Stegostoma tigrinum: one gene and its partner. The protein of the gene in region 1 interacts with the protein of each later gene in a pairwise test. Links are inferred from orthologs where the notes say so. Each region holds a gene or a part of one and is shown in the gene's direction. Other genes may lie near its edges. The genes, in order: very-long-chain enoyl-CoA reductase-like and hacd2.

Region 1 (15,736 bases):
AGACTGGTACGTTAGTGTCGAGCTGATCCTTCATTAACACAGCTAATTTCCTACCCTAGTGACAGTTTAATATCCCTGTTTCTGGTTTTGGAGAACACTTCATGTGATCTGCAGCATTTGTAGTCACCTTCCAAAAGCATCCTGGCAGATTGTTAGGTCATTAAAGAGCAGCTTAAACGTAACATAAGATTTCACAGAATTCTTGGACATGTTGGTAGAAATAGCAGAGCAGGGGTTGCTCCAAAATACTGATAGAATAACTTCTCTGTGCAGATTAATCTACTGTGCCATAAATCATGCTGTCAGCTTGATGACATTTACATGGTTATGTTTCATGATATCGTGCAACACAACTGAAGGCAGCTTATGTCCAACTTGGTAACTAACCTTGGCTCTGTTCATGCTAAATGACTTTGAAGTGACCTGAAACATTAACACTCAAATGAAATCCAAAATATCCAGGGACGAAACAATCCAACAAATTACGAAGAATTGTTTCATTATTTGTTTTTGTGGTGTAAGGAGATGAGTGCTAAAGAGAAAGAGGTTGGAAGACCTCTGAATTTGGCCCTTTTTATGGTCTTGTTAAAACTTGAAAGAAGATAAACATCTGTTGTTTTACAGCCAAATATTCATCTTTTATGATGTGTAAATACATCATATTTTACAAAACAACTACATATTTTACTGCTGCAATCATATTCATTCAAGTCACAAATGAGAATCTGTGTAGCCTATTTTCTCTTTTGTGCCGGTGACACACTCTACCTTCCTCCAGGTGCTAGTTGCTGCTGCAGAAACCCGTAACCATGACTTTGTTACCTCTGGACTGGGCTATTCCAATGCATTTCTGGCAGGATCCCACATTTTTCCCTTCATGTGTTTAATACCATGCAAACTCCACTATCATCCAAATACGCACAATGTCCTGTTCACCCATAACCTATTCTTGATCCTCTATTCATTAACAGGATGAGAGTGTCACTGGCTAGGCAGCATTTATTGCCCATCCTTAATTGCCCAGAGGGCAGTTCAGAGTCAACCACATTGCTGTGGGTCTGGAGTCATATGTAGGCCAGACCAGGTAAGGTGGCAGTTTTCTCTTCTAAAAGACATTAGTGAACCAAATGGGTTTTTCCGACAATTGACAATGGTTTCATGGACATAGATTCTTAACTCCAGCTATTTTATTGAATTAAATTCCACCATCTGCTGTGGCAGGATTTGAACCCTGGTCCCCAGAATGTTTTCTGTGTCTCTGGATTAACAGTCCACCGATAATACCACTAGGTCATCACCTCCCTTGAATGACTTACTGGGAATCCTACTTAATTAAAATATTGATTTTAAAATTCTCATGCTTTTTTTCAATCCCTTGATGGCCCCATTCTTCCCTAGTTCTGTATTCCCCAAACAACCTCAATCCACCATGATATCTGGACTTCTCCAATTCGGATTTCTTCATTCTTAATTCTAATCCTTCTACCACTACATTCTGTGCCAACAGTTGCCAAATCCCTAGTTTCTGGAATTCCCTCCCCAAATATCTTCACTTCTCTACCTCATTTCCTCCTTTTATCGTCTCTTTAGAACTTGCATCTTCAACCACCTTGAGGCCATCTATCCTATTATAACTTCATGTAGTTTGGTGTCGAGGAACACCATCACCTTCAAGTTCCCCTCCAAGCCACTCACCGTTCTGACTTGGAAATATATCGCTGTTCCTTCACTGTCACTGGGTCAAAATCCTGGAATTCCCTCCCTAATAGCATTGTGGTTTAACCCACAGCAGGAGGACTGCAGCTGTTCAAGAAGGCAGCTCACCACCATCTTGTCAAGGGCAACTAGGTATGCTGGCCGGCCAGTGATGCCCACATCTCACGAATGAATAGAAAAAAATCTTTTGTTTGACAACTCTATTGTGAAATCCCTTGGGGTGTCTCACCTTCTTAAAGATGCATTTTGAATACAATAAGTTATTATCATTTGTTGATTACACAACTACAGCCCCGATTCAATTCTAATGTTATAAAGTAAACTCGCACTTGAGAAGTAGGTCAATTATCGGCATTACTGACATTAATATAAGCTGACATTTGCATGTTCTCATTAGAGAATTTCCTATACATCATCATTTGAATGGACCCTTGAGGAAGAATGTTTAGTTATTATTTTGTGTTTGTAATATATGGCGTGATCTAAATATATCACTCAGGATAACACCTTTTTTTACAGTCTTCTATACTTTTAAAAGGAGGTCCATAAGACCATAACATATGGCAGATGTAGGCCATGCTGCCCAACAAGTCATCTCCACCATTTAATGAAATCATTGCTGATTCTCAATTCCACTTTCTTGCATTATCCTCAATACACTTGATTCCCTTAATGATTAGAAATCTGTCTCTCTCAGCCTTGAAATACATCAGAACCCAGCCATATGGTGCCGTGGCCTTGCCTTGGAATAGAAGTTCAAGTCCCATCCCACAGTTTGATTGCCAAGAAAGGCGTGTTCATAGCATAACCAATTGATATAAAATTGCAAATCCTTCCAACTCACAACAGTAGCAGGCAATGAAAGTGGGTGCGATTGATGGACAACTATGAGTTGGAGTGAAAATCGGAGGCAACCATCACTGTTGTAGCTCCACACTATAATCTGCATGTTGCCACAGTAACTTAGACTCTGTGAGTTATTTATTACACACCATCACAGTTTTAAAAATATAATAATGTAATTGTATTATTTGAAAATAATTCAGTTTATTTCATTTGATAAACAAATGCTCAAATGAAATTATGCAAAATACCGCAATAAAATTTAATAAATCTGTATGTTGCAGTTTCATGAAAATTAATTGTTGTGCTGTCATAACTTGGTTAGTTACTTCCTTTCGCACATTGGATCAGTTTCTATTTGTTGTCATGCGTGGAGCAGAGGATGTGTGCAGGTGCAGAGGGAAGTGATGACCTAGTGGTATTATTACTGGACTGTTAACCCAGAGACCTAGATGATGTTCTGGGGACGTGGGTTTGAATCCTGATATGGCAGATGGTAGAATTTGAATTCAATAAATATCTGGAATTAAGAATCTAATGATGACCATGAATCCATTATCAATTGTTGAGGAAAAACCCATCTGGGTCACGAATGTCCTTTGGCGGAGGAAACTGCCATCCTTACCTGGTCTGGCTTTCATGTGACTCCAGATCCACAGAAATGTGGTTGACTCTGAACTGCCCTCTTGGGCAATGAGGGATCAGCAATAAATACTGCCTGGCCAGCAATGCCCACATCCCATAAATGAATTTTAAAAAAATTCCAGACGCTTCCAAAGTTATTCACAATTAAAATTATTGGATGGAATAAGGAAGCATCAACTGTAAACATTCAACCTGTCATGATTAACTCACACAAATGTACAATGATTTCAATACAACAAAGCGTCAGGGGAGACGGTGGGGGGGTTAAATCCTTTTAACAACAGATTTATTAAATTTTATTGCAGTATTTTGCATAATTTCATTTAAGCATTTGTCTGTTTATCAAATGGAATAAACTGAATTATCTTCAAATAATACAATTACATTATTATATTTTTAAACTGTGATGCTGTGTAATAAATAACTCAGAGTTCTAAGTTACTGTGGCAACATGCAGATTGTAGTGTGGAGCTACAACAGTGATGGTTGCCTCCAATTTTCTCTCCATCGGGTGTGGTGGTAATGTCATTGGATGGGATCCATGAAATATCAGGCTAGTGTTCCAACCCACAGCATATGTACTGTCGGGGTTCAAGAAGCAGTTCATCACCACCTTCCCAAGGGCAACAAAGACAGGCAATTAAATCTGCCCAGCCAGCGATACCCATGTCCCATGAGTGAATAAAATAAACATTAATATTGGAACCATTGTTAATGTAAAGATCAGTCTCAAAGTAGGAGTATGAGCTAACTACTGTCCCATATTTATATCCCTATTGTGCAGATACATTGTAAAGTGGCTGCATTGTAAAAGGAAGAGGAACGGGAACTATTCCACTTCTCCACAGTTCAATAGTGACCTTTTATATATGGCACATGTTTGGGCTGATAATTTCATGAATGTGCATAATACTGTCACTGTTGTTAAAATAGTATCAGAGATAATGGGAACTGCAGATGCTGGAGAATTCCAAGATAATAAAATGTGAGGCTGGATGAACACAGCAGGCCAAGCAGCATCTCAGGAGCACAAAAGCTTTTGTGCTCCTGAGATGCTGCTTGGCCTGCTGTGTTCATCCAGCCTCACATTTTATTATACTGTCACTGTAGTAGTTTAAACACATGATGATATTAACAAATGGCACCTGGCAGCACATTTACCAACCACATGAAGACCCAGTTAAAAACATATATTTTTCTGTCTCCCTAAACAAACAGCAGTCTGATTTTAATGTGTATTGTATCGCCTGCAGCTGAAAAGGGAGACAAAGGAAAAAAGGATGAAAGAAAGAGAGAAATAAAGGAGAAAAAGAAAGAGAGAAAAACAGCAAGAGAGGGAGAAAGAAGGAAAGAAAGACTTATAATTGTGATCAGAGATAATGGGAACTGCAGATGCTGGAGAATCCAAGATAACAAAGTGTGGAGCTGGATGAACACTGCAGGCCAAGCAGCATCTTAGGAGCACAAAAGCTGTGTTCATCCAGCTACACACTTTGTTATCTAAGAAAGACTTATAAAGTGTTTTTCATGAGCATCATATACCTTTTAGTGTATTAAGCCAAATGAGTCTTTAAAAGTATTGCTGAAACAAACAATTTGTTAAAGCTTTTGGTCTTACCCTCATTGGGATAATTCACAAGAAACCCCAAAGTAAAGGAAAAATAACGTTGATCTTGACTGTGAACAATGAACAAGAGAATGGTCATCACTTATTTTGTAATTGAAACAGGTGGTAGTGTTCACTTCTCAAAGCAATGCCATGGTTGATCAGAAGCATTGATCTCCCTCTCTTGTTGTTCTTCTCTCTTTCTTTTACTCCTTCTTTATCTCCTTTATTTCTCTCTTTCTTTCATCCTTTTTTCCTTTGTCTCCCTTTTCAGCTGCAGGCGATACAATACACATTAAAATCAGACTGCTGTTTGTTCAGGGAGACAGAAGAATATATGTTTTTAACTGGGTCTTCGTGTGGTCGGTAAATGTGCTGCCAGGTGCCATTTGCTAATATCATCATGTGTTTAAACTACTACAGTGACAGTATTATGCACATTCATGAATTTATCAGCCCAAACATGTGCCATATATAAAAGGTCACTATTGAACTGTGGAGAAGTGGAATAGTTTCCGTTCCTCTTCCTTTTACAGTGCAGCCACTTTACAATGTATCTGCCTTATTTAAAATTTAAACAAAGCTTGACAGTTTTCTGCCAGTCATCATTAACTGGTGCATTTTCCATGGTAACACCTGAATGAATCAGAGTCCATCTGCCAACCAATCAGCACTCTCCTCTTGGCAGTATGAATGTCATTTTCCCTTTACTTTGGTATTTGCAATGAATTGTAATGATGATTGTAATGAAAATATTTTCAGTAGTACTCAAGTTCTTTACTATCAAAAGATTAGTTTTGAAGTGAAGTAATTATTGTAATGCAGGAAGTACGCCAGCTCATATCTAAGGAGGTGATGGCCTTGTGAGATTAGTACTGGAGTGTTAATCTAGAGACACAGCTAATGTTCTGGGATCTGGGTTCAAATCTTGCCATGGTAAATGATGGAATTTAAATTAAATTTTAAAAAATGTGAAATTATGAGTCTAATGATGACTGTGAATCTATTGCTGATTGTCAGGAAAAACCTATTTAGTTTATTAACGTTCTTCAGGGAAGGAAATTTGTTGCCCTTATCTGGCCTGGCCAACTTGTGGCTCCACATCCACAGCAATGTGCTTGATGCTTAACTGCCCTCTGGGCAATTAGGGATGGCACTAAATGCTGGCCTAGCTAGTGATGCCCACGTCCCATGAATGAATAAAAAAATGCATGCAGCAAAGACCCATAAGCTTCAATGTGATAATGACCAAATAATCTGTTTTTGCAATGTTGCTTGAGGGTCAAAGTTAGTCTGGAGACTGGGAACAACTGAGATCACAAGATGTAGAGCTGGATGAACACAGCAGGCCAAGCAGCATCTTAAGAACAGGAAGGCTGACATTTCGGGCCTAGACCCTTCATCAGAAATGGAGGAGGGGGAGAGGGTTCTGAAATAAATAGGGAGAGAGGGGGAGGCGGATTGAAGATGGATAGAGGAGAAGATAGGTGGAGAGGAGACAGACAAGTTAAAGAAGTGGGGATGGAGACAGTAGAGGTGAGTAGAGGTGGGGAGGGGCTAGGTCAGTCCGGGGAGGACAGACAGGTCAAGGGGGTGGGATTAGGTTAGTAGGTAGGAAATGGGGGTGGGGCTTGAGGTGGGAGGAGGGGATAGGTAAGAGGAAGAACATGTTAGGGAGGTGGGGACGAGCTGGGATGGTTTTGGGATGCAGTAGGGGGAGGGGAGATTTTGAAGCTTGTGAAATCTACATTGGTACCATTGGGCTGCAGGATTCCTAAGCGGAATATGAGTTGCTGTTTCTGCAACCTTCGGGTGGCATCATTGTGGCACTGCAGGAGGCCCATGATGGACAGCATTTGCAGTTCCTATTATCACTGGGAACAACTGCTCTGCTCAACTTAAAAATATTGCCATGGGTTCTTTGACATCTACCTGAGCTAGCAGAAAGGAATATCCTTCAATATCTCACCTAAAATGATGACATCTTCACCAAAGCAGCATTCCTTCAGTACTGCACAGGAGTGTCACCCTTGATCTTTGTGCTCGAGCACTTTTACATTCAGAAACTTTCATAAGAACTGAGGTTTGAAGCCAGTAAAAGGAGTATGAATAGCATAAGAGCAAATGGGAGGGTCCAGTTATGGTGGGTGATAGGACAGATTAAATGACAAAGGAGCTGGTGGTGCAAGACCAAGCCTTGTTTTAATTTTCTGGATGGCAGTTGTTCACCTGCTGCTAGTCACACCTCCTGTAGACCAATGTTGACAAACAGACTCACCATTCATTGCATTGCCAGTTGGCTACAGACATGTGATGAATTGATGCTGTTCATTTTTTTGAGCAGCGATAAAGTTACAGAAGTGGTTGAGAGTATGGGCGCGCCTAGTTAGAAGGATATTTCCCATCTGACTTCAATTGAGCAAGGAGGAATTAACCATCTTGCTGTTAGTACTACGAAAGTACTGTCTCCAACAACATAACAATGTAACCATTGCACCTTGACACTCAAGGACGTTACCGTCACTCAATCCACCCAGTGGTGTTACCGTAAATCAGTATCCACTGTGATGGAACATTCCTTACTTGCCTGTATGACTGTGGCTCCAATGATACTCTAGAAGCTTAACAAGACTAGGACAAAGTGGCTTGCCTGATTGGGTGTGGATGTGGTGCCATTCACTTACTTTACCCAGATGCTCAGTAGCAGCAGAGTGTACCACCCACGAGATGTACTGCAGAATTCCACAAAGGCTCCCTAGACAGCACCTTCCAAGCCGATGACCATTTCCACCCAGAAGGACAAGGGCAGCAAATGTATGGGAACGCCACCACCTGCAAGACACTTACCATCCTGACTTGGAAATACATTGTCATTCCTTCAATGTTCCTCAGGCAAAATCCTGAAACTCCGTCCCCAGTGGTATTGAGGGTGAACATATCCTAAATGGAGTGCAGCAGCCCAAGAAGGCAGCTCACCACCACCTTCTCAAGAGCAACTAGAAATGGGAAACAAATTTGGCCTAGCTGGCGATGCCCACATCCCATGAATATATAAAAAGACACGATTAAATCATAAATCAGTTCCACTGCAATTGTTATACCATAGTTTAGTTATTGGTTTCTAGTGACTGAAACCCTTTGAGGTGCCATTTGCTCAGTAAAACAAGAAAATGTTTGTTTTAGTTGAATAAAAATCTTGCTGTTTGTGATCTTCTGTGTTTCTATGTTCCTTGGGTGTCGCTAAATAATGGTATCAATGGGGAACTAGCCGCTGTGAGCTCACACAATTTTGGGAAATCCAGAACAATGAGGAATTTAGCTGCTCAACTTAAAAATATTGCCATGGGCGTGGATTACAAACCCTCATGAAAGCTGATCTCTCCTGGCTCTGGCAGTGGGTGTGTTGGGGGCTTGGTTAGCTCAGTTAGTTGATCTGTGACTCAAGTAATACCAACAGTGTGGGTTCAATTCCTGCATCAGTTGAAGTAGCCATAAAGGACTTCCTTTCCGCTCTATCCCCTCACCTGAGGCATGGCAACCCTCAGGTTAAACAACAGCCAGTCATGACTCTGTAATGAGAGAGCGAGCCTAGTCCTCGCACTGATGTGAGAACTAGGGCCACGGCAATTTTAACTGTATTGAGTGTAGAAGATTGAAAACATCAAAACTAATGTTAAAATATTTCACATTGATTTCTCTAATCTTGCCTTTCTGTCTCAGATGGTGAATACCACACCAGTTATAATCTCTTCCAACCTGTTCTGCCAAGTGGAAGCTACAAAAGCTGAAACACACTTACCAACCACCAGGTTCAAGAACAGCTTCTCCCTCACGGTTATTAAACACCTGAACAGACCTCTCAAATTTCAAATCTAAAGTTGATCTTGTTTAATGTGCACTTTCTTTGCAGACATAACTATGCATTCCTCCTCTGATTGCGTATTGTCTTTGTATGGTTCGGTCTGCCTATACTGTGTGCAAAACAAAACTTTTCACTGTCCCTAGGTACATGTGACAATAATAAGTCAAATTAGAATCAAAAAGGTGACTGAATCTTCAGAAATTTAGAAAGCATTGGTCAATATCGCCACTGCAGACTTATCAGCTGTCTCTTACACAATTCCAGTTGGCATAATAGTACCAACCTTTTGTCATTTATTCTCTCGGGATCACAAGAACTTCCCTTTGGCTCTTCAACCTCTCAATCTCCCACTTTTCACTTCAAGCTTGTTACAAACTCTAACCTTAACCATGTTCTGAGGAAGAGTCCCAAACCAGGCACATGGTTTCTCCGTGATAACAAAATGTGAGGCTGGATGAACACAGCAGGCCAAGCAGCATCTCAGGAGCACAAAAGCTGACGTTTCGGGCCTAGACCCTTCATCAGAGAGAGGGGGATGGGGGGAGGGAACTGGAATAAATAGGGAGAGAGGGGGAGGCGGACCGAAGATGGAGAGTAAAGAAGATAGGTGGAGAGGGTGTAAGTGGGGAGGTAGGGAGGGGATAGGTCAGTCCAGGGAAGACGGACAGGTCAAGGAGTTTCTCCGTCCAGTGATGCTGCCAGACCTGCTGAGTATCTGCAGTACGTTCAGCTCCTTTGCTCTAGTTGCAGAACACGGCGGTTTGAGAACGAAGGTTCCCCCTGGGAGAAAAACGACGAGGTGAATTTTGAACTTTCAACACGATCCTGTGAAATGTCACTCGAATACAATCGAGTGGTGACCGCTCGGATCCCAGTAAGGGATAAGTTTCCCGTGCAAACGCCACTATCCAGAGACAGGACGGGTTGGAATGGAGAGCAAATCGACCCCTTGGAGCTACACAGCTGCTGTTCGAACTCACCAGTGGCAACAACCGTGCGAATCGCTTGTCCCTGGGTGTGGAGCAATGGGAATCGAAGACCGGCGCTAAATTCCCGTGGAGTCATTGAGACCGTGGTGTGTGTGTATGTGGGATGGGGGGAGGTGCTCCCATTCTTGGTCACATTTCATTCTTAGCTCCACCCTTGGATAGAGTTTCCCAGAGCCCAAAGGGGAGATGGCTGAGCGTCCGTTTCGCTGCCAAACAGGTCTAGCTTTGCTGATCCTCTGAGCTGCTCCTGAGATCTGCACAGCGTGCACTCGGAGGGGAGTCCGGGTGTTTACCCTCGGTATGAGTCCTGCAGCCATGAGCCGGGCCACTTTCTTCGAGGTAACAGGGTTAACCGCTAAGGTAGTAAGAGACCTGCACCAGAGAATCTTTGCTTAGAACCATTTAAACATCTATTGCTGAGGAATCGGTCTTCACTGTGTAGTTGAAAGTAATGTACGTCTTGGTGCTCAACCAGACCCAAGTTAGAATTGTTTGCTGCTATATTGAATGACAAAGGCGTGCGAAAAGTCAAAATAAAGTGAGCCACAGCATTTTATATCTGTTTGGAGCGTGCTCAATGTTGTGCTCATTCAGAAAGTGCAATTGCTCGTGTTATTAATTGGTGTCAATATTTGTGTAAGTGTGGATGCAGTAATTCTGGTTCTTCCGCAGTTACCCATCGTGAATTGCACTGAAAACTGTTGTGATGTGAAAGGGGCTGTTACTTCGGACGGTGGGTTTTAGGTTGTGTTGTTAACTGGAGTGATGCACTCGTGGCCGATGTGCAGACATACTCGCTCACGCCAAGGGCATTCATTGGTTTTTCTTTGCACCATGAGATTCCCAGAAAATTGGATTTGGGGCGAGGGAAGCAGCATTACAGCGAAAGAATTGGGAGCAGGAGATAGGCATTCGCCCCCCCCCCGCCTCTTCGTCATTCAATAAGATCATGGTTCGACTAATTATAACCTCAAATCCCCTTTCCTGCCATTCTCCAAGAATCATGGTTCGACTAATTATAACCTCAAATCCCCTTTCCTGCCATTCTCCAAGAATCATGGTTCGACTAATTATAACCTCAAATCCCCTTTCCTGCCATTCTCCAAGGCCTTCCACTCCCCTGTAGCTCCAAAGTCTGCTAACTTATCCTTAAATATATTCATTGAATGGGTTTCATATTCAGCAACTTCCATTGCTTTTTAGGGGTAGAGAATTCCAAAATATCATCACCTTCTGAGTGAAATCTGAAGTAGATGTACCCCTATTTTCTGCAAGTTCCTCAATTTTCCCTTGGTCCTAGATTCCCCATGAGGGGTAATATCCCCTTAACATATATTCTGTCAAACCCCATCAGAACCTTCTTTGGTCCTGTTGAATTGAATCATAAAACGGTTTCAGCAGAGTAGGAGGCCATTTGACTCATCACATGTGTCATCACTCTGGAAGTGCAATTCACCCATTGCACCTCCTTCATGGCACTGTACATTCCTTCACTTTGAATAACAATCCACATTGGCAGGTAGTGCATCCCAAATCCTAATCACTTGCTGCTTAAGGTACTTAGAATCGTAGTCGTAGAAGTCTACAACACAGAGAAAGTCCCATTGTGTCCGTACCTGTCTAAAACAACCACCTAATTATTCTAATCTTGGCCCATAAACTCATATATTCCTTGGTATTGCACATCTCGGTACTTCTGAAATGTTATGGAGATTTCTGCCTTGACTGCCCTTGTAGGCAGCGAGTTCGAGATTCCCACCACTGTCTGGATGAAAACGTTTTCCCTAGCATCCCGTCTAAACGTTCTGCTCCTCTTGTTCCTCAAGTTGCCTTTGGTTCTTTTGCCATTCGCTCTAAATTGGTTCATGACCCTTCTATGAGGAAGAAGTTTCTCCCCATCAGCTCTGTCCAGACCCCACATGATTTTGAAATTCTCCAGCAAATTTTCTCTGCTCCAATTTCTTTAGGAGGACAACAACCCAAACTTCCCAATCCATCTTGTAGCTGAGGTTCCTCATTCCTGGAGCCATCTCCTGGATCTTTTTTGTATCTATTGACTGCTTTCACATCTTTCCATGTCAAAGTGTGATGCTTAGAACTGGTCACAATACATAAGTTCAGGCTGACCCAGGATTTTAAACAGGCTTATCACTCTTCTTTATTTTTGGACTCTAAACCATTATTTGTGCAGCCCAGGATTCTGTTTATTTCATCAACTGACTTATGCACATATCATCACAGGGGTCTCTGCCCAACACCTCCTTTAGAATTGTATCTTCTATCAAAATGAATCATTTCAGCTATCACTACTCATTTTTCTAAATTCCATTGATTATAGGCCCAACTTCTTCAATTTTAACTCAAGACAATCCATTCATTCCACGAATCTGTGAAAGTTCTATGAACTGCCACCAATGCAAATGAAACCCCCCCTTTAAAGAAGGAGACCAAAATTGTACTCAGGATTGCATTTTAACTGTCAGCAAAACATTCAAGATTGAATTACAGTGTATGACTCTCATTTGGACTTTAGACAAAATATAAAATTAATTCCAATTGCTATCTCGCATATCCTAATTTTACAAGTTAAATTTGTATGTTTTTGTAAAATATACTGATGGGTGTGCATTTTTGGGAGTTACATAAGTTGGGAGGGGATGGCTCAGTGGCATTATCACTAAACCTATTAATCCAGAGACCCAGAAAATGTTCTGGATGCCTGGGTTCAAATCTTGCCCTGGAAGATAGTGGAATTTAAACTCAACTAAAATCTGGATGATCACGAAAATGATTGATTAAATATGGGGTAAAATCCTGTCATCAGTTCACTAATGTCCTTTTAGGGAAGGAAACTGTCATTCCTACCTCGCCTGGCCTATATGAGACACAAGAATCTCTGGGCAATGAATGCTGGCCTTACCAGCAATACCCACACCCTGTGAATACACTTTAAAAAAGACATTTAATGACACTGGTGGATTGTAGAATTGATAGCTTATAAGTTTATAATAATTCACTTGGTGAACAAATCTAAAACTGTCTCAAGTTGGATTTTGAGTCTTTTTCTTCACAACATGTAAAATGTTTAACACCTTTGTCCTAAAACAAACAATTTGTCATAGATAAGTGAAAACAAAAAAAATTGAAAATCATAGCATGTCAGGCAGTACCCGTGGAGAGACAGCAAACTAACTTTTCAAATCCAGATGACTCTTCATTAGATCAATTAGATAATCTATATTCTTCCATAATTTATGAAAACATCAATGAAATCACTCCTTAACCTACCAAGCAAGCAGACCAGGAATATAAATGTTTCTTCTTGTACTTTAACATTACAAAATGAATCCAAGAATCATTCTTTTCTTTTTAGGCCAAAGCAGGTGAACTGACATTTTCCTAAATTAAAATTCACAATATAGAGATATTTTCTTTTTTATTTCATGGGATTTGGACATCACTGACATAGACCCTATTTACTGCCCAATCCTAAGTTCCCTTGAACTGGTGACTTGCTAGGCTATTTCAGTGGGCAGTTAAGAATCAATGATATTCCTGTGGATCTGGAGTCACATGTAGGCCAGAATAGATGAGATGGCAGTTTTCCTTCCCTGAAGGGATTGCAGTAATGATGACTGTGAAACTAGCTTTCAATTCCAGATTTTATCCATTAATGTAAACCCCAAAAGTTGGCGTGGTGGAATTTGAACCCATGTCTTCAGAACTTTAACCCAGGCCTCTGGATTATTAGTCCAGTAAAATTTCTATCAGGCCATTATCTTCCCTACTGAGCTGTCTCTATATTGCCTTCTAAAGTAGGCACAGCATCTGCCCCATCCCTGGTCTCCATTCTGGCTGCTCCAATGATGGAGAGAACTGTCTCCTGTATTGGTGTGAGGACATACAACCATGCCTGGCCCTTCAGGTGTTGCTGCCTCCGGTTTTATAGGACATTTTTCTGTTTGAGTGAGGCAGAGAAAAGTCTGCCAATCAGTTTGCAATGTGCTTGGATGATGTATCTAACATAAAGGAATATATATCACTGTGGACAAACTAAAACACGTGAGTTGCAGCTGTACTGAGTGCATGAGGATGACGTGATGCTGCAACTGAGAGGTGTGAGTTATGCTTGATAGAGAACGTCAGTAAATGAGTGAAGGGGGTATTCTGAATGGAACATTGCATGAGGATAATAATTCATTCACTAACCTTAACCACTCATGAGTCATTAAACTTTTTCCTGTGGTGTGCTCAGGTTCTTGGCACCAGAATACTGGCATTGAATGCAACAGCAAGCCGCTCTCACTGTCTTCTCAGTGTCTGTCAGGACAGTTTTCCTTGTTCCTTGAGGAAGAGGGCCTCGCCTGTGCAAAAGTCTCTATGACTGTGTTGCAAAACCTTGGAGCATGGTTTCCACTGTGTTCCCCCATTTAGAACATTGAACAAAAGAGCCCTTCAGCCCACTATGTCTGTGCTGATCATGATATCATTCTATGCTAATCCCATCTTCCTGCACGTGGTCCACATCGCCCTACTCTCTGCCTGTGTCTGTCTAAATGCCTCTTAAATGTTGCTAACGTATCTGCTTCTATCACCTCCCCAGCAACACATTCTAGGCAGCTACCACTCTGTGTGTAAAAATGTTTTCCTTGCACATCTCCTGTAAATGTCTCCCCTCTTCCTGGTATTTGACATTTCCACTCTAGGAAAAAGACCTTGACTATCCTCGTTATCCATGCCTCTCATGATTTTACGTACTTCTGTCAAGTTACTCCTCAGCCTCCAATGTGGTAGCCAAAACAATCCAAGTCTGTCCGACCTCTCTTTATAGCTAATACATTCCAACTAAAGCTCCACCTTTCTCTCGAGAGGACTGGTGTATGAACAGCCATAGGACGTTGGTGAGACCCCATCTGGATGATATAAGAACACATGCACAGAGGTGCGCCATTCAGTCTATTGAGTGTTTTCCCCATTCAATACAATCATAGCTGAATATAAGCACCTGTTACCCACAAAATCCTCATAACCCTTACATTATTGATGATCACAAATTTATCAACCTTGACCATAAATGTATTCTTGAGTTTTAACAGCCCTCTGAAGTAGACTATTCCAAATGAGTCACCTTCTCAGTAAAATCAGTAATTCTCCTCATTTTGGCTCTAAATGGCTTCCCTATTATTTTGAAATTGTGGTCCCTGGTTCTAAAAGACTCCCCAAACAGGGGAATATCTTAATTGCATTTGCCCTGTTTTTCCCTTTGATTATTTTATAGGTTTCAATGAGATCACCTCTCATTCTTCAAAACTCTAGAGAACCAGACTCCGATTAGCCAATCTCTCCTCTGAGGACAATAGCACCACCCTGAGAACCAGCCTGGCGAATGTGCATTTCACTCTCCATGGCAATAATGAGCCAGCTTTTCCAGGCAGTCCTTACTCCAACAGAGATGAAAATTCTGCACGAAGACCCTGCAGAATCCTCATTGTAGCACACTCTGAAGGAAAGTGTGGGAAATTCCTGGGCAATTCCTCAATGCCTGGAACCCTCTTAAAAAAATCTCCCTAAAAGTCAGAAACTTTGAAAGGTTCAGATGAAATGAAGTAAAATAGTTACTCAGAAACAATAAGCTTGTTAATTACAAAACTAGAGCGTATAATTTTAAGGTGAGAGGATACAGATTTAAACAGGAACTAAGGGGCAGCTTTTTCACACAATTGGTTGTTCGAATGTGGAATGAACTGCCAGAGGAAGTGGGAAATGCTGATGCAGTTACAACATTGAAAAGATATTTGAACAGGTACCTGACTAAGTAAGGTTTATAAGGATGTGGGCCAAATGCAGGCAAATGGGCCTAGTTTAGTTTGGGAAACTTGGCTGGCATGGATGAGTTGGACTGAAGAGTCAGTTCTGTTCTGTGTGACTCCATGGCTCTACGTAGCTTAACTGCTGATGACCTATTTAAGAGACTCCATACTTATCTCACACCCCTCCCTAGACCCTTAACACATCCCCCCACTCCTAACCCTAACCCAAATTGGATCCTGACACCTGTATTCCCCAGCAACAAAC
Region 2 (15,273 bases), on another chromosome or scaffold:
TGTCTAAGTGCAGGAGCTCTATGTTCTTCAATTGCTCAACTCAGGATCTGCAACACCAGCAACATGTAATGGAGAAATGGGTTGACAAGACCGGCTGAGGTTCCCACACCAGACTGCAAATGTAGTTATGGCTATCAGACTGTGCAGCCTTTTGCTAAAAGCTGGCTCAGGGTCCAGTGGACAGCTCTTTCAAATCAGTTCAAATTCTGAACTTTAAAAAAAGGTTAAAGCGGACTGTACTTAAGGAATAGCAAAGATCCTGTGCAAATTTCTGCCTAAGCTGCTGGTTTATGACCTCCCCTGAAGCTACTGACATATGCGGAGAACAAGTCCACAAGAATTTAAATTTAATCTTTCTTGCTACTACACAGCTTTGGAGTAGGTGGGACTAACTTAAATTCCCCACTGAGGATCTCATGTCAATAAACATTGGAAAAGATGGAGGATCGTCTTCTTATAGATTCACACAAGATCACTGCTGTTTCTTAACTACGGTCTACAGTATTCTTTTTAAAAACGTATTAGCATATTTAGCAATCAAGCATTTGATACAGGGTTCTATCAAGAAAATTTAAGTCAGTGATAACAGCGGGCTTGCAACATATTTATGCAGACAGCACCTTAACAAAATGCCATAATCAGAAAGAAGCCGATGTCAATTCAGAGTTATTAAGGATAAATTACCAAAAATGTTACCCTCCTGAAGTTACCCTCTTCCCAGCTTCCAATGTTCATAACTTTCAGTTCAGCCAAAGCCCAACAGTACCTCTCTGATCTCACCTCAAGTCCTGTTCACCCACTTCCTCTGTCCTCAGAATCCTGGTTCAGCAACAGGATGTGAAAATCTGAGTTTATGCAAGTGCTCCACAATTCTTAGATAACTATAATCCTGGTTCTTGCTGATCTTGGAATTTCACTGTGCCAAGAGCATGTCATAGCTTAGTCCTCAGCTACCGAAACCTCACCAAAAACTATAACAGACACACACTCACTCAAACACTCACTCAGAGTTTGGCAGCATCTGTGAAGAAGAAAAAAAATCAGAGTTAATGTTTCAGGTCCCGATGCTTTACCTCTGACTTTTTTCTTCACAGATGCTGCCAGACCTGCAAAGTTTTTCCAGCAACTGCTGTTTCTGTTTCTGTTCCTGATTTATAGCATCCACAATTCTTTCAGTTTAAATCAGCGTTTGCTTGATTTTGTTTCAGAAAAATTTTTTGGGGGAACACTAAAGCTTTGATTATGTTGCTGTCAGTCACTATAAATGTCACAGTACAGCAACTTAAACATCCAAAGTACTCAGTGCAGTTTAGAAGAATGAGCGGTAATCTTATTGAAACAGAAATCAGAGAGTCTCATCAGGTTAAATGTTGAGAGGATGTTTCCTCCAGTTGGGAAATCTAAAGTGGTGACGGGTTTGAGCACAGCTTAAAGATAAGTGGTCTCCTATTGAAGACAGCAATGAGGAGAAATTTCTTTGGTCAGAGGACCATCAGTCTTTGGAATTCTCTTCTAGAGGAGTTTGGAGAACTGAAGCACTGAATATGGCGCTGCACATTCAAGGCTGAGTCAGACAGAATTCTGATTGACGAGCGAGTCAGGTTATGAGCAAGGAATGGGTATTCAGGCCACTTGTATCTGATCAACCATGAACTTACTAGCAAAGCCGGCTAGGCAGGCCAAATGATCTCCATCTGTTCCTATTTTTTACGATCTTATGAACATATCTACGCCAGGACTTGAGGGTATACTAGACATCAATTGTCAAAGGAAATTTAAAATTAAATATGAGTTAGGATTTAGCTTTTTTTTTTAAAAAACAAAGTTATGCTTGTCCGCAAAGGGGGGCACATGCATTTATGTTTAATGGCACTAGCTGACTTTGTAACGAGAGGGAACAGAGCTGAAAAGGGAGAAAGTTAGGTTAAACCTCATTGATTAGGCCCTGGCTGGAGTATTACATCCATTTCTGGCCCCAAGTCCTGCAGGGGTGACAAACTGATATTCTGTACAAGAAGTTTACTAATGCCATTTCTGTGTTTGATAAGGCAGGTAAACAGCATTGGTTTGGCCATTTTAGGAATAGTGCATGCAATTCTGGTCTAGAGAAAACAAGGTGTGGAGCCGGATGAGCACAGCAGGCCAAGCAGCATCTTAGGAGCAGGAAAGCTGACGTTTCAGGCCTAGACCCTTCATCAGAAATGGGCAAGGGGAAGAGGGTTCTGAAATAAATAGGAAGAGAGTGGGTGGCAGATCGAAGATGGATAGAGGAGGAGAAGATAGGTGGAGAGGCAACAGACAAGTTAAAGAGGCAGGGATGGAGCCAGTAAAGGTGAGTGTAGGTGGGAAGGTAGGGAGGAGACAGGTCAGTCCAGGGAGGACGGACAGGTCAAGGGGGTGGGATGAGATGAATAGGTAGGAAATGGGGTTGTGGCTTCACGTGGGAGGAAGGGATAGGTGGGAGGAAGAATAGGGACGAATTGCTGGTCTCCCTGCTTTAGGAAGGATGCTGTGAAACTTGCAAGGATTCAGAAAAGATTTACAAGAATGTTGCTATGGTTGGCCGGTTTGAGAGGCTGAATAGGCTGGGGTTACTTTCCCTGGAGTGTCAAGGATGAGAGGTTACCTTACAAAAGGTTTATAAAATCATGGCAGGGATGTGGATAGGATAAATAGACAAGGTCTTTTCCCCAGGGTGCATGAGTCCAAAACTAGAGGGCATAGGTTTAAGGTGAGAGGGCAAAGATTTAAAAGAGATCTAACAAGTAATGTTTTCACACAGAGGGTGGTGTGTGTACGGAATGAGCTGCCAGAGGAAGTGGCGGAGGCTGGTACGATAACAACATTTAACAGGCATCTGGATGGGTCTATGAATTGAAAGAGATTAGAGGGATATGGGCCACATGCTGGCAAATGAGACTAGATTTATTTAGGATATCTGACCAGCATGGACAAGTTGGATTGAAGTATCAGCTCTATGGCTCTATGATTCTATAACACAGGAACAGCGTCAAACGACGGTTTCTGTACAAAGGACATCTATTGCAAACATGGCTAAGTAGAAATCTGTCGCAAGCACATGCAAATAGATATTGGTGGCAGGGATTAAGACTTTCAGTGAAGAGATTTGGAGAAAAATATGTGAATTAGGAGGAGTGGGTCATTCAGTCTCTCAACCTGGTACACTATTCAATGATCACTTTTCTGCCTGAGGGTATGTTCTGTTCAAGCTCTTCAAATGATGTTATTATGCACCACTGGAACAGATGGGACTTGAACTTTGGCGTCTTGGTTCAGAGGTTGGGATGCTACCACCTCCTTTTTCATTGCCTGCAACACCATAACTCGCAGACCCCATGACCCCTTCATCAATGAAAAATCCATCTAACATAGCCTTGATTAGATTCAATGACCCAGCTTTCACTGATGTCCGAGGTAGAGAATTCCAAACACCAGTAATCATACAAGGACGAGAAATTCCATCTGAGGAATACACTCACTGCCCTGACTTCCTTGTTGCGGGAGGTTGCTTGATGTACTTAGTATACATTAATCGAGCCTTCCATAATTTTAAGATGTTTCATATCTTTTCCGCTTCTGTACGTATGTCCTATTTTATCCTTGGCTGAAAGAGGGACAGAATTGGCAGCTGAACTTCCCAGGATTTTGATGTTTCAGGTGTGATAGAAAGGGAGAGAAGATGGGTGGGGTGATGCATTACTGTTCGAGGAGTATCGCACAGCTGTACTAAGGGAGGATACATCAGAGGACTTGTGCAGCGAGGCAATATGGGTGGAACTCAGGAACAGGGAAGATGAAGTCACAGTGCTGGGGGTATACTACAGGCCTCAATAGCCAGCAGGTGATAGAAGAGAGAATATGTAGACAGATTTTGGAAAGATGCAAAAACAGCAGGGTTATTGTGATGAGTGATTTTAACTTCCCCTGTATTGACTGGGACTCACTACATGCTAGGTGCTTGGATGGGACAGAATTTGTAAGAACCATTCAGGAGGGATTCTTGACACAGTACGTGAACAGTCCAATAAGGGAAGAGATTATACTAGGCCTGGCTTTGGGAAATGAGCCTGGCCAGGACAGTGAAGTTCACTAGGGAAGCATTCTACGAGTAGTGATCCTAATACCGTGAGCTTTAAGATACTCATTGATAGTGATAATAGCAGTCCTTGGGTGAAGGTGAACTACAGAGATAGTAGGAACTGCAAATGCTGGAGAATCTGAGATAACAAGGTGTGGAGCTGGATGAACACAGCAGGCCAAGCAGCATCAAAGGAGCAGGAGGAGGAGGAGGAGAAGGAGAAGGAAGGCTGGTTAGGCAGGAACTGGAGAATTGTGATTGGAGGCAGCTGTTTCATGGTAAATTTACATCAGGCATGTGGGGATATTTCAAACAGCAGTTGATAAGAGTTCAGGAGAGGCACATTCCTGTGAGAATGAAGGATCGGCATGGCAAATTACATAAACCTTGGTTGACCAGGAATGTTACAACCTTGATCAAAAAGAAAATGGAAGCATATATAAGGTCCAGGAGGATGGAAACTGATGAAGTATACAAGGAAAGTCGGTAAAAACTTAAACAAGGAATTAGAAGGGCTAAAACAGGTCATGAAATGTTGTTAGCAAACAGGATTAAGGAGAATCCCAAGGCTTATTGATAATATATAACAAAAGTAAGAAGGTAGCCAGGGAAAGGGTTGGCCTACTCAAGGGCAAAGGAGACAATCTACGTGTGAGGCGAGAAGAGGTGAGTGAGGTCCTAAATGAATACTGTGTGTCAGTATTCACCAAACAATAGGAATTGGCGGAGGATGATCCCTGGGAAGGTTCTGTCGAGTTTCTAAGCCAGGTTGCTATTAACAAGGTGTTTGGCATCTTAAAAAATATTGAAGTACATAAGTCCCTGGGTCCTGAAGGGATCTAAGCCAGAATATTGAGGGAGGCAAAAGAACAGGTTCAAGGTTCAAGGTTCAAGGCAGGTGGGGGGTTAAAAGGGGTGTGCTAGGCAAGCTTTTCACACAGAGTGGCGAGTGCCTGGAACGCATTGCTAGAGATGGTGATGGAAGCAGAAATAATAGCAGCTTTCAAGTAGTGTCTGGACGAATACATGAATAGGAAAGGAATAGAGAGATACAGACTCTGCAAGTGAAGACAGTTTCAGCAATGGAGGGGCAAATTTGGCAGTGCAGGCTTGGATGGCCGAAGGACTTATTCCTGTGCTGTATCATTCTTTGTTCTTTAAAAGGACCCAAGATCCAAAGAAATCGACATTTACAGATGGGATGCATGTGTGGCTTAACTACTGGCATAGTTTCTTTTAAGCTTAAGACATCAAAATCCAAGATAAAGGAAAAAAGAAAATACAATTAATGGGAGCTTGCAAATGCAGGCCATCTAAAACAATATGCTGTCAAGTTCCATTCCTAGTTCTAGAAGCTGGCCTGGTTTCTCCTCATGGAGTAAATCTAGAATTTGGTTGCACTGTATCAAACAAAGGGACCACTTAAAATACTGAGGGAACATAGAACATACAGGCCCTTCGGCCCACTCTGTGGTGCCAAACTTTTACCCTAATGCTAAATTCTATCTAACCTCCACCCTTACCTTATACTATCATCCATATGCCTCTCTAACAGTCACTTAAATGCCCCTAATGAGGCCGACTCCACTACCCACTCCAGCAATGCATTCCACACCCTAACCACTCTGAGTAAAGAACTTACGTCTCTCCTATATCTACCTCAACTCACTTTAAAACTATGCCCCTCGTAATAGCTACCTCCACCCTAGGAAAAAGTCTCTGGCTGTCCACTCTATCTATACCTCTGATCATTTTGTACATCTCAATCAAGTCACCGCTCATCCTTTGTTGTTCTAAAGAGAAAAGCCCTAACGCTGTCAACCTTTCCTCATAAGACCTTCCCTCCATTCCAGGCAATATCCTGGTAAATCTCCTCTGCACCTTTTCCAACGCCTCCACATCTTTCCTGTAATGAGATGACAGAACTGGACACAATACGCCAGATGTGGCCGAACCAGGCTTTTGTATAGCTGGAGCATAACTTCACGGCACTTGAACTCAGTCCCTGTTAAATGAAAGCTAACACACCATATGCGTTCTTAACAACTCTATCCACCTGGGTGGCAGCTTTCAGGGAACTGTGAACATGAACTCTAAGATCCCTCTGCTCCTCCACGCTTCTGTAACCCTGTATTCTGCTTTCAAGTTTGTCCTTCCAAAATGTATCACCTCACACTTTTTAGGGTTAAACTCCATCTGTCACTAATATCTCCTCTGAGAGGGTTACTTATCTTGGTAATTTTCTACCCAATACAGTGTAGATGCTATCACAGAACACAGTTGAGACCAAGATAGATTTTTGAACCACAGGGCATTTGTGGGTTTTTGGGAGGGGTAATGGCAGAAGTGTCAGACAGGAACATAGAGCTCAGACTAAGATCAGAACAGCCACCATCTTATTGTATAGCAAAGCAAGCTTATAGGGCTGAATGGACTCCTCCTACTTCATATCCAATGCTGTATACTCATCTTGTGCCAAGAGCAGAGGCATTTAAGATGAAAACTAAATACTTGCAGAGTTTTTCCAGCACATTCTGCTTTCATTCCATCTCTAGCGTTTGAAACACAGGAACAGGAGTAGACCATTCAGCCCCTCAAGCTTGTTCCATCATTCAATGAGGTTATAATTGATTTGTAGCCTACCTTCACGTACTCATCTTAGGCCCAAAATCACTTAATATCCTTGCTTAACAAATCTGACATCTGACATAGATAAATTTTAACAACTGATTTAGCATAAATTAATATTTGTGAACGAGAGTTCCAAACCTCTATCACTTTTTCTAACAACTCTTTTTTTATTTGACAGGCTAAGATGAGAACTGATCGAGCCGCTCAAAAGATTTCAGTGGAGCAAATGAGACGCAGCTTTGAGTGACAGAAGGATCAGTTATCAGAACGGTAAAGAGATCAGGTTTTATCCTTGTGAACTTGAAAATTAGGGAACATTTTCTGACGCAACAAGTGGCTGAAAGGGTGCAAATTCAACAGTAATTCTCAAAAACAAACCGACAAATCCTGGGGTTCCAAGAGGACGGTGTTGCAGGATTGTTGGCGGGGGTGGGTGGTCTAAAATCGGGGGGCCTCACGGGAGGAGGGACCGAACGGCCGCCTTGAATGCTGTATCATTCCCTGAGCAACATTTCCTTTCTCCCGGAGACCCTTGGTACTCAACAAGCTGATATAATCAGCTCATTTAGAAGCGTTGTGTCATTTATATAATTAAAAGTGTGTGTTTTTAAAAGCCCGGGGCCGGTTTTAAAATCCCTCAACCCTGACAGGCATAACTTACCGACATCCTGGTCGAAGGGGTTGGTGGCGAAGAAAGGCATAGCTGGGATTACAGTAGGAAAACTTTTTTTAAGTGAGAAATAGCCTTCTGGAGATAGGCCGCCGTCAGGCCTCGGCGTCTCTTCAGCTCGAAGCCCGTAACAGTCGCTCCTTCGCCAGCCCCTGGAACATCCTAACAGCCGAGGCCTCCGACCAAATCTGCCCCTTACGGTCTCAGTTTCTTTCACAACTGAAAGTAGGATAAATATTCTCAGTTTTTCACTCCACCCCTTCTCCGGGAGATGAAATGGCGTCGCAGGAGGAGGTGAAGGGAGTTTGTGATCGGGGGATGTGAAGAAATTATAAAATAAATAATAACTTCACGCTGGTCAGGTGACGCCTCTTTGACCCCGCCCCACTTTCTTCCATTGGAGGCGGTCGTCACTCGGCCCTCCTGTAGTGGGGGGGGGGGTCAGCCAAACTAGGGGGCAGTAAATTGACATGTTCGGGTGGCGCAATTCGCTGTCTGCCCGTCCAGGGGGCAGCATAGGAGGATGACCGTGAGACAGAATTCTCAATTTGCCGGTTTCGTGGGAGCAGCACCGAAGGAGGTATGGTAATTCAGTGGGTAGCCAGCATCATGTACCGATGTCGGGACATTGCAGGGAAGGATACAGGAGGGGAAATTCGCTCAGAGATAATAGGAACTGCAGATGCTGGGGAATCCGAGATAATAAGGTGTAGAGATAACAAAGTGTGGAGCTGGATGAACACAGCAGGCCATGCAGCATCATAGGAGCGGGAAGGATGACGTTTCGGGCCAAGACCCTTCATCAGCAAAAAAAATTCGCTGTCCGCCAGTCCAGAGGGCAGCATCGAGGGAAGAATGTACGAGGGGCAATTTAAGGTCAGCCAAACCAGGGGGCAGCGTGGAGGGGGTGGAACGCAGGAACGGCAATGGAAGGTCGTTCTGGCAGAGGGCAGTATCGGGGAGGACCAAAAAACAAAGTTGCTGGAAAAGCTCAGCAGGTCTGGCATCAGCTGTGGAGGAGCAAATAGAGTTAACGTGAGATAACAAAGTGTGAAGCTGGATGAACACAGCAGGCCAAGCAGCATCTCAGGAGCACAAAAGCTGAAGTTTCGGGCCTAGACCCTTCATCAGAGAGGCTCGAAACGTCAGCTTTTGTGCTCCTGAGATGCTGCTTGGCCTGCCGTGTTCATCCAGCTTCACACTTTGTTATCAGGGAATGCATGAGTGGCATTTCAGGGTCAGCCAATCTTGGGGGCAGTACCGAGGGAGACGTGCGGGAGGCGGGATCGGCAGCCAGCCAATCCTTCAGAAGGGGGTGGGGCCAGGTGGTGGTAAATACTGCGCACGCGCGGCAGTTCAGTGACGGACTGATCACCATGGCGTCGGTCGGGAGTGGGCTTGAACATCAACGTGGGGTTCATGAAGGGCCGCAGAAGAAAAGAAGGGGTCCGGGACCCCTCGCCACTGCTTACATGGTCATCTACAACGTGGTAATGACGGCCGGGTGAGAGCTTACATTTTTAAAGCTGTGTTCCGTACCGATCCCAATTAGCTATCCGGGTCAGGCACTGTTGGCAAATTACCATTTCTTTCCATAAGCGTCTGAAATCCACTGCTATTCTTCAGTGTTGCGTTAATTAACATTATAATAATGCAGTAAGCTCGCTTACTGAAAGCAGTTTGCAAATCGAAAGCAGCAGTCTATTTAACCCCCCCCCCCCCCACCGTGTTCCCTTCTCTTGCAGGATCACTTCCTATTTATGGATGGTTCCTCAGTGAGGGACTACAGTGGTACTGAGAGGGCAAAGATTATTATTTAAAGAAGTTCCTTTTGAAATGAAACATGGGTCGGCTCGTATATCGCAATGGAGGAAGAAATGTATTTTCTTCCCTTCCACCTAAGCCACGTGCATTAGTGAATAAGGACCCCCACCCCCATGTGTAAATTGCTGCCGGAAACCATTGTGATGCGACAGTGGACTTTGTTCTGCTTTTCCGCTCCCATATTACAAAACACAACTGATCTCGTTCTGTCACTACTGTACTCTTCAGATCTTTGGTACAGACTGAGTTTCCTGCTGACCTAAGTCGGCAAGCTTTGTGGGGAATGGTGAAAGCAAACTAGGGGTGTGGTGTGTATTTTTCTAGAGATTGGGAGCAAATGTCTCTTCTCAGTTGGCAGATATCAGCGAGCAAGTTGACTCCCTGTCCTTGGATTGAAACAAACAAATGACTTTTTTCCCCATTCAGCTGTCTGAGAGCTCCCCTGCTGTATATGCCAGAAATGGTATTTTATGTTCCTCGAGGGAGATAGGGATGGTAATGTTCAAGGTTATTAAAAGATGTCTTGATATTTATAGCACTCTCAGTTGAAGCTTTTGTATGCAGTGCAGTAACCTGTAATTATATGCTGATTACACATCAGTGTGAGGAGTGCTTTTTGGAAAGCAACAAGGCAAAAGAGCACTCATTGAACATCCTTGGTATGCATGCCTAAATTCTTGAAGGCAGTAGACTGAGGTAGATAAAGTGCTTTAAAGGCATATGGGATATCAAGGTGAGGCTCATTGGTCTATGGGTATGAGTCTCACTTAAGGTACTGCACAATGGTGACATGCAAGGTTTAATTCCCAAATGAGCTTTCTTGGGGTGGCTCAGTGGTCAGCACTGCTGCCTCACAGCACCCAGAACCCAAGTTCAATTCCACCCTTGGGCGCCTGTGTGGAGTTTGCACAGGTTTCCTTCCACTGTCCAAAGATGTGCAGGTGAGGTGGATTGGCCATGCTAAATTGTCAATAGTGCTCAAGGAATGTGTAACTCGGGTGAGTTATAGGGGGATGGGTCTGAGGGTTGGTGTAGACCTGTTGAGCTGAACGGTATATTTCTGCACTGTAAGGATTCTATGATCTATGTAATGTTTGTTAGGCCTCATCAGTAACAATGCTGTGCAATTCTGGTCACTGCAATATAGGTTAGAATGTGATTGTGAATTTCTTCCACAGCCCCTCTCATGCAATGTGGCCAGGGTTGTACTAATCCAGCTATGAGGGTAACATGGATAGGGTTGGGCTATTTTCTTTGGTGAAGGGAGTGTGGCTTGCAGGATGGAGGGGAGGGTGGTGTGGAGTGTGGAACCTGATTTTGAGGTGTACGTAGTTCTGAGGGGCAAAGGTAGTGTAAATAGGAATATACTTGCCCCTTGGCTAGTAACCAGGGGCACAATTTTAGGGTAAGGACCTGGAGGTTTAGAGGTGATTTGAGAATATTTTTCTCCAAAAGGTTGTAGAGGGTCAAGAACTCACTGCCTACTGTTAGTGGAGGTGGGAACCCTCAAAGCATTTGAGAGCTAGTTAGATAAACACACGAAATGCCATAAGCACACAAAGCTAAGGGATGAGTGCTGGAAAATGGGATGGTTTGACTGGTGTGGACACAATGGGTAAAAGAGCTGCCTCGTGCAGTAAAAACAGGCTGTTTGTCAAACAAACTAAAAAGGCTTTTGAAGGATATGAACACTCTTTACTTAGAAAGCATAAAGGCTTTTATAGGGTATTGGAATCTCTCCTGATTTTTGACATGTAATGACTGTAGGAAACTACAGCAGTCAATTCACATGCAGTAAGTTTCAACAAGCAGTTGCATGGATAAAATCTTCTAGATGTTTCTTGAGGTTAAATATTGAATTGGACACCAATTTTGGGAGGATGGAGGCAATGTAGGAACAAAAAGAGCTGTTTTGCACTTGGGACTGTTTCACCATTAATTGAGATTATGGTTGATCAGTGACCTGAGCTCCACATATCTAAATTTACTCTATATCCCTTGGATTTTTGTCAAGCAATGGTATTTGCAATCTGAATTTAAAAATCCATAACTGAATGTCATATCAGTTGCTGTTTGTGGATGAACTTGCATACCTGTGTAGAAGTTTGTAATTTAAGAGCAGGATTAAGCTATTCAGCCCCTTGAGCCTGCTCCCCTTCCCATTTAACAAGACATGTCTGATCTGATTGTAACTTGTAGTTCACATTACCAGTGGTCCCTGATAACCTTTCCACTCCTCACTTATCAAGAATCCAGACAACTGCCTGAATGTTTAGGGGAGTCTTCTTTCATCTTTGACATGTTTTCCTAATCTGCTAAAATGCATTTTTTGGTAGTTGTATTTCTGTTAATGTTTGATTAGTTTTTTCCTGCCTCTGATTAAAGACACTTCAAAGTGAGTTGGAAGCTTCAGAATGAATTTTATTTTCGTATTAAGCAGACCTGAAATTCAGACTTGATTACCCTCTGCATTTACTCCAGTCTTGCTGACCTCATACATTGTGTCCTCAAATCAGTGTATTTAGGGAAAGTGCCAAGAGAATACTCTTGTCCTAATATCTGTGCCTTCTACCTCAGTTGCTGTGCAGTGTTGGAGAAACAAAGCTGAAAGACAAATGAAAAGTACTGAATATCCCTTTCTGATCTGGAATGGAAACCTAACAAGCACCTGCCAATCTGCTGCCTCTCACAGCAAGAGTAATTGGTCTCTTTGACTTGAAGTTCATAGCAATTGATCTGCAGTCTTAAACATTGAGGCCTAGGGAAGTGATAATGGGAACTGCAGATGCTGGAGAATCCAAGATAACAAAGTGTGGAGCTGGATGAACACAGCAGGCCAAGCAGCATCTCGGGAGCACAAAAGAGGAGCTGCTTGGCCTGCTGTGTTCATTCAGCTCCACAATTTGAGGTCTAGGGAAGCTGTGGCAGCAGAATAATATAGTGGGTATGATGTGGTTGAAGATGTGTTACAGTTAATAATGTCCAAAAAGGCTAATGGAACATTTGTCATTACGTAAATGACCTGAATATCACTGAAAAGAAAGATGTGTTGATGAAAGGTTTAAAATATGATGTTCTTGTGTTTTGTTCTGAGTACAAGACAAAAGCCCTGGACAACCGCACTGAAAAGTGACATTCACACTCTTTTTCACACATTTCATGGGGTTGGGCATGAGAGCCGAGCAGTGTCTTAAATTTCTACTCTGAGCCCATTTCATGTCTTGAAAATTGTCCTGCCACCTCACTTAAAACTTTGGGGGGTGGGGGTGGAGAAAGGCATATGAAAGCAAGCATTAGGAGAGAGAAGTCCAGTGTGAGGGGAGTTGGAACTCACCAGCCGTCATTGTTGCCTTGGAGCCTGGAACTCCAGATGTCGTTTTGTGATTTCTGTGCTCCCGACCACCAGTTTGGAAGTCTGGGATTGAATCCTTGGTATGTGCAGAGCCCTGATTAACCACACTTGGATCACTGATCAGGATATAGCTGTCACTGCCTGGTCCAGCACTTATTTATCATCTAATTGCACTAGTGAAAGCTGCCTTTTTGATCTGTGACGGCCACAGGGATGTAGGTGCACCCTAAGCGCTCTCCAGAAGAGTTTTAGGATTTTGACCTGGTGACGATGAAGCAAGTGTGATACAGTTTGAAGTCAGGATGGTATGGGGCTTTGAGGTGTCCCATGTACCTGCTGCCCTTGTCTTTCTAAGTGGCAGGGGTTGCAGGTGTGGAAGGAGCTGTCCAGGCAATCTTGGGATAAAAGTTAGGAAAAAGCTGCAAATCTTTTGAAGGTGTCAGGGCAAATATATAAGCTAGGAACCAAAATGTCAGAATTGTCAGCTAAGGCATGACTACCATGCACAAACCTTTACAAGTCCCTGGTTAGGTGTCTGGAGCTCTCTTTACAACTCTGGAGGCTGCACTTTTAGGAAGAATTTCCATGTCTTAGGATTCTATGAATTTTAGTGGCATGATGCTAGGGATGAAGCAGCAATTATATGGCTAACTTAAAAAAAACTGATTTCTTCACCTTGGAGTAGCAAAGGTTCTCGTGATGGAAATGAATGGTGGTATTCAGAAAACCTGGCACAGGTATAAAAATCAAAAGAACTGAGCCAGTTCTGTGGAAGGGTCAGTTGATCCAAAGTGTTAACTCTGATTTATCTCCAAAGATGCTGCCAGACCTGAATTTGTCAGCAATTTCTGCTTTTGTTCTGGGTACACTGGTATACCAGGCTGGAATGGCCTGTGTTCTTAGTATTTTTTTAAGATTCCGCATGATCATCTGATCATTAGGGAAAGAAATCTGTCGCCTTTGCCTAACTGTGACTCCAGATCCACAGTAATGAGTGGTTGACTCTTAACCACCCTCTGGAATGGCCAAACAAAATACTCCAATCAAAGTCAATTAGGGATGTTGCTGCAGCACCTGCATCCCATAAGTATAAAGAAAAAGTCATTGGTGTTGAAGCGGGCATGAAACTATTGGGACTGTCGTGAAGGGGAGCTGCAGGTGGTGTGAACGTAACATTTGTGGGAATGGGAACTGTAGCTGAGCAAGTTGGGGTAAGAAAGAGGGATTTGGTGCCATTAGTGGCTGAGTCCTCAGTTTTGCTGCTGAACTGAATGATGTTGCAGTACTGTGACTTAACTGAAATTTTTTTTCCAGATGGTTGGTCATCGCAGTTGGTCTGATCCGAGCTGGCTTGGCGAGGGGTACATACCATGGCCTTTATTACTCCATTGAGAAGCCATTGAAGTTCTTCCAGACGGGAGCATTGTTGGAGGTGGGTAGGACATATGGTCTCCTTTAGGGAGACCTGTTCTGGCTGTGGTCCCCTTTGGCAAAACGCCTTAAACGTTTTTGTGACAATTATTTCATTTGCCATTCTATTACTGTAGAGTTTGCAGGTCAGCAGTTCTGTTGTACCTCCGGTAGTCTCAGCATGGCTTATTACTCAATGGATGTAGCCCTTTGAGCACATCAGCCATCTTGTATGTATATCGTGGAATCAAACTTGGATTGTGTAATGTTTCTGCCCATATTGGGTGGCGCAAGAGCTCTCAATTGCATACCAGTTTTGCTGCTGGGGCTTTGCTGGTTAGCATCTGCCTATGTTATAGTTAATCTACACAGACCACAGGAGGCCCCAGGTATGTAGGTTAACTTCAGCTTGAGTTAGACAAGCTGAGAGAGTCTATTTTAGGCTGGCTAAACAGAACTGACTATCTGAACTGTCTGATACATGCAGAAAGCCATTAACACTTACAGCCCTGTGATCAGATATGCATTTGTCACCTACCTTTTTCATTATGTACAATAAAGAGGTCTTCAGTCCCAGGTCTTAACCTGTCTACAGGAATCTGTTTGCACTCTAGTCTGCTACCAAGGCTGATAAAAGGCCTTGGATCCCTCTCTAGTCACTTCCACTGGCACAAGCCCTTGAAAGTGCTTCTAAGTGGCAGGGGTTGCAGGTGTGGAAGGAGCAGGTGTGGTTTTTCGAGGTTCAGGGCTAAAATGTGCCTTATAGCACTAGCTTGTAAAATGTCATCTTACCCCTATTGTGACCTTTGATTTGAATTCAATCTTGTTTAATTCCCACAACAGCTGCAGTAGGTCAGAAGAGTTGGTGCCGGAGGCCATAAAGCAGATAGATCTGATCAAGTGTCCCAGGACATTGAATAGCTGGGGATGAAGTTGTGGGCCCTCTAGCAGAGATGTTTGTATCATTGACTGACAAGGGTAATGTGCCATAAGACTAGAAGGTGGTTAATGTTGTGCCATTGCTTTAAGAAAGGCTGCAAGAAAAAGCCGGTAAACTACAGACTCATGTGCCTAACATAAATGGAGGTAAGTTGTCAGAGGCGATTCCAAGAGACTACATGCGTTTGGAAAGTCAAGGGTGAATTAATGACAGTCAGTATGCTTGATGCATGGGAAACAATGTCAAATTTGACTGAGATTTATGGGAAAGTGGCCAAGGTAGATGGATGAGAGAACAACATAGATAGGGAAGGGGTTAGGCTTTACAGATTGTGTATATAAAAGCTA

What was found.
Region 2: the proteins of very-long-chain enoyl-CoA reductase-like (region 1) and hacd2 interact in binary tests that used the Homo sapiens proteins (3 or more experiments, as listed by UniProt). The link is inferred for Stegostoma tigrinum from reciprocal best matches to the Homo sapiens genes TECR and HACD2.

What each region holds. Positions count from the first base shown.
Region 1 is NC_081361.1:84,869,979-84,885,714, reverse strand, and holds the start of very-long-chain enoyl-CoA reductase-like, read left to right. Parts: upstream 1-9,496; 5' UTR 9,497-9,504; coding exon 9,505-9,747; intron 9,748-9,842; exon of another isoform or gene 9,843-9,961; coding exon of another isoform or gene 9,962-10,000; intron 10,001-15,736. UniProt on the Homo sapiens protein: Involved in both the production of very long-chain fatty acids for sphingolipid synthesis and the degradation of the sphingosine moiety in sphingolipids through the sphingosine 1-phosphate metabolic pathway.
Region 2 is NC_081360.1:97,867,318-97,882,590, reverse strand, and holds the start of hacd2 (very-long-chain (3R)-3-hydroxyacyl-CoA dehydratase 2), read left to right. Parts: upstream 1-8,751; 5' UTR 8,752-8,776; coding exon 8,777-8,904; intron 8,905-13,890; coding exon 13,891-14,008; intron 14,009-15,273. Other genes in the region: stam2 (signal transducing adapter molecule 2), read right to left, coding at 7,392-7,431. UniProt on the Homo sapiens protein: Catalyzes the third of the very long-chain fatty acids (VLCFA) elongation four-step cycle (condensation, reduction, dehydration, and reduction).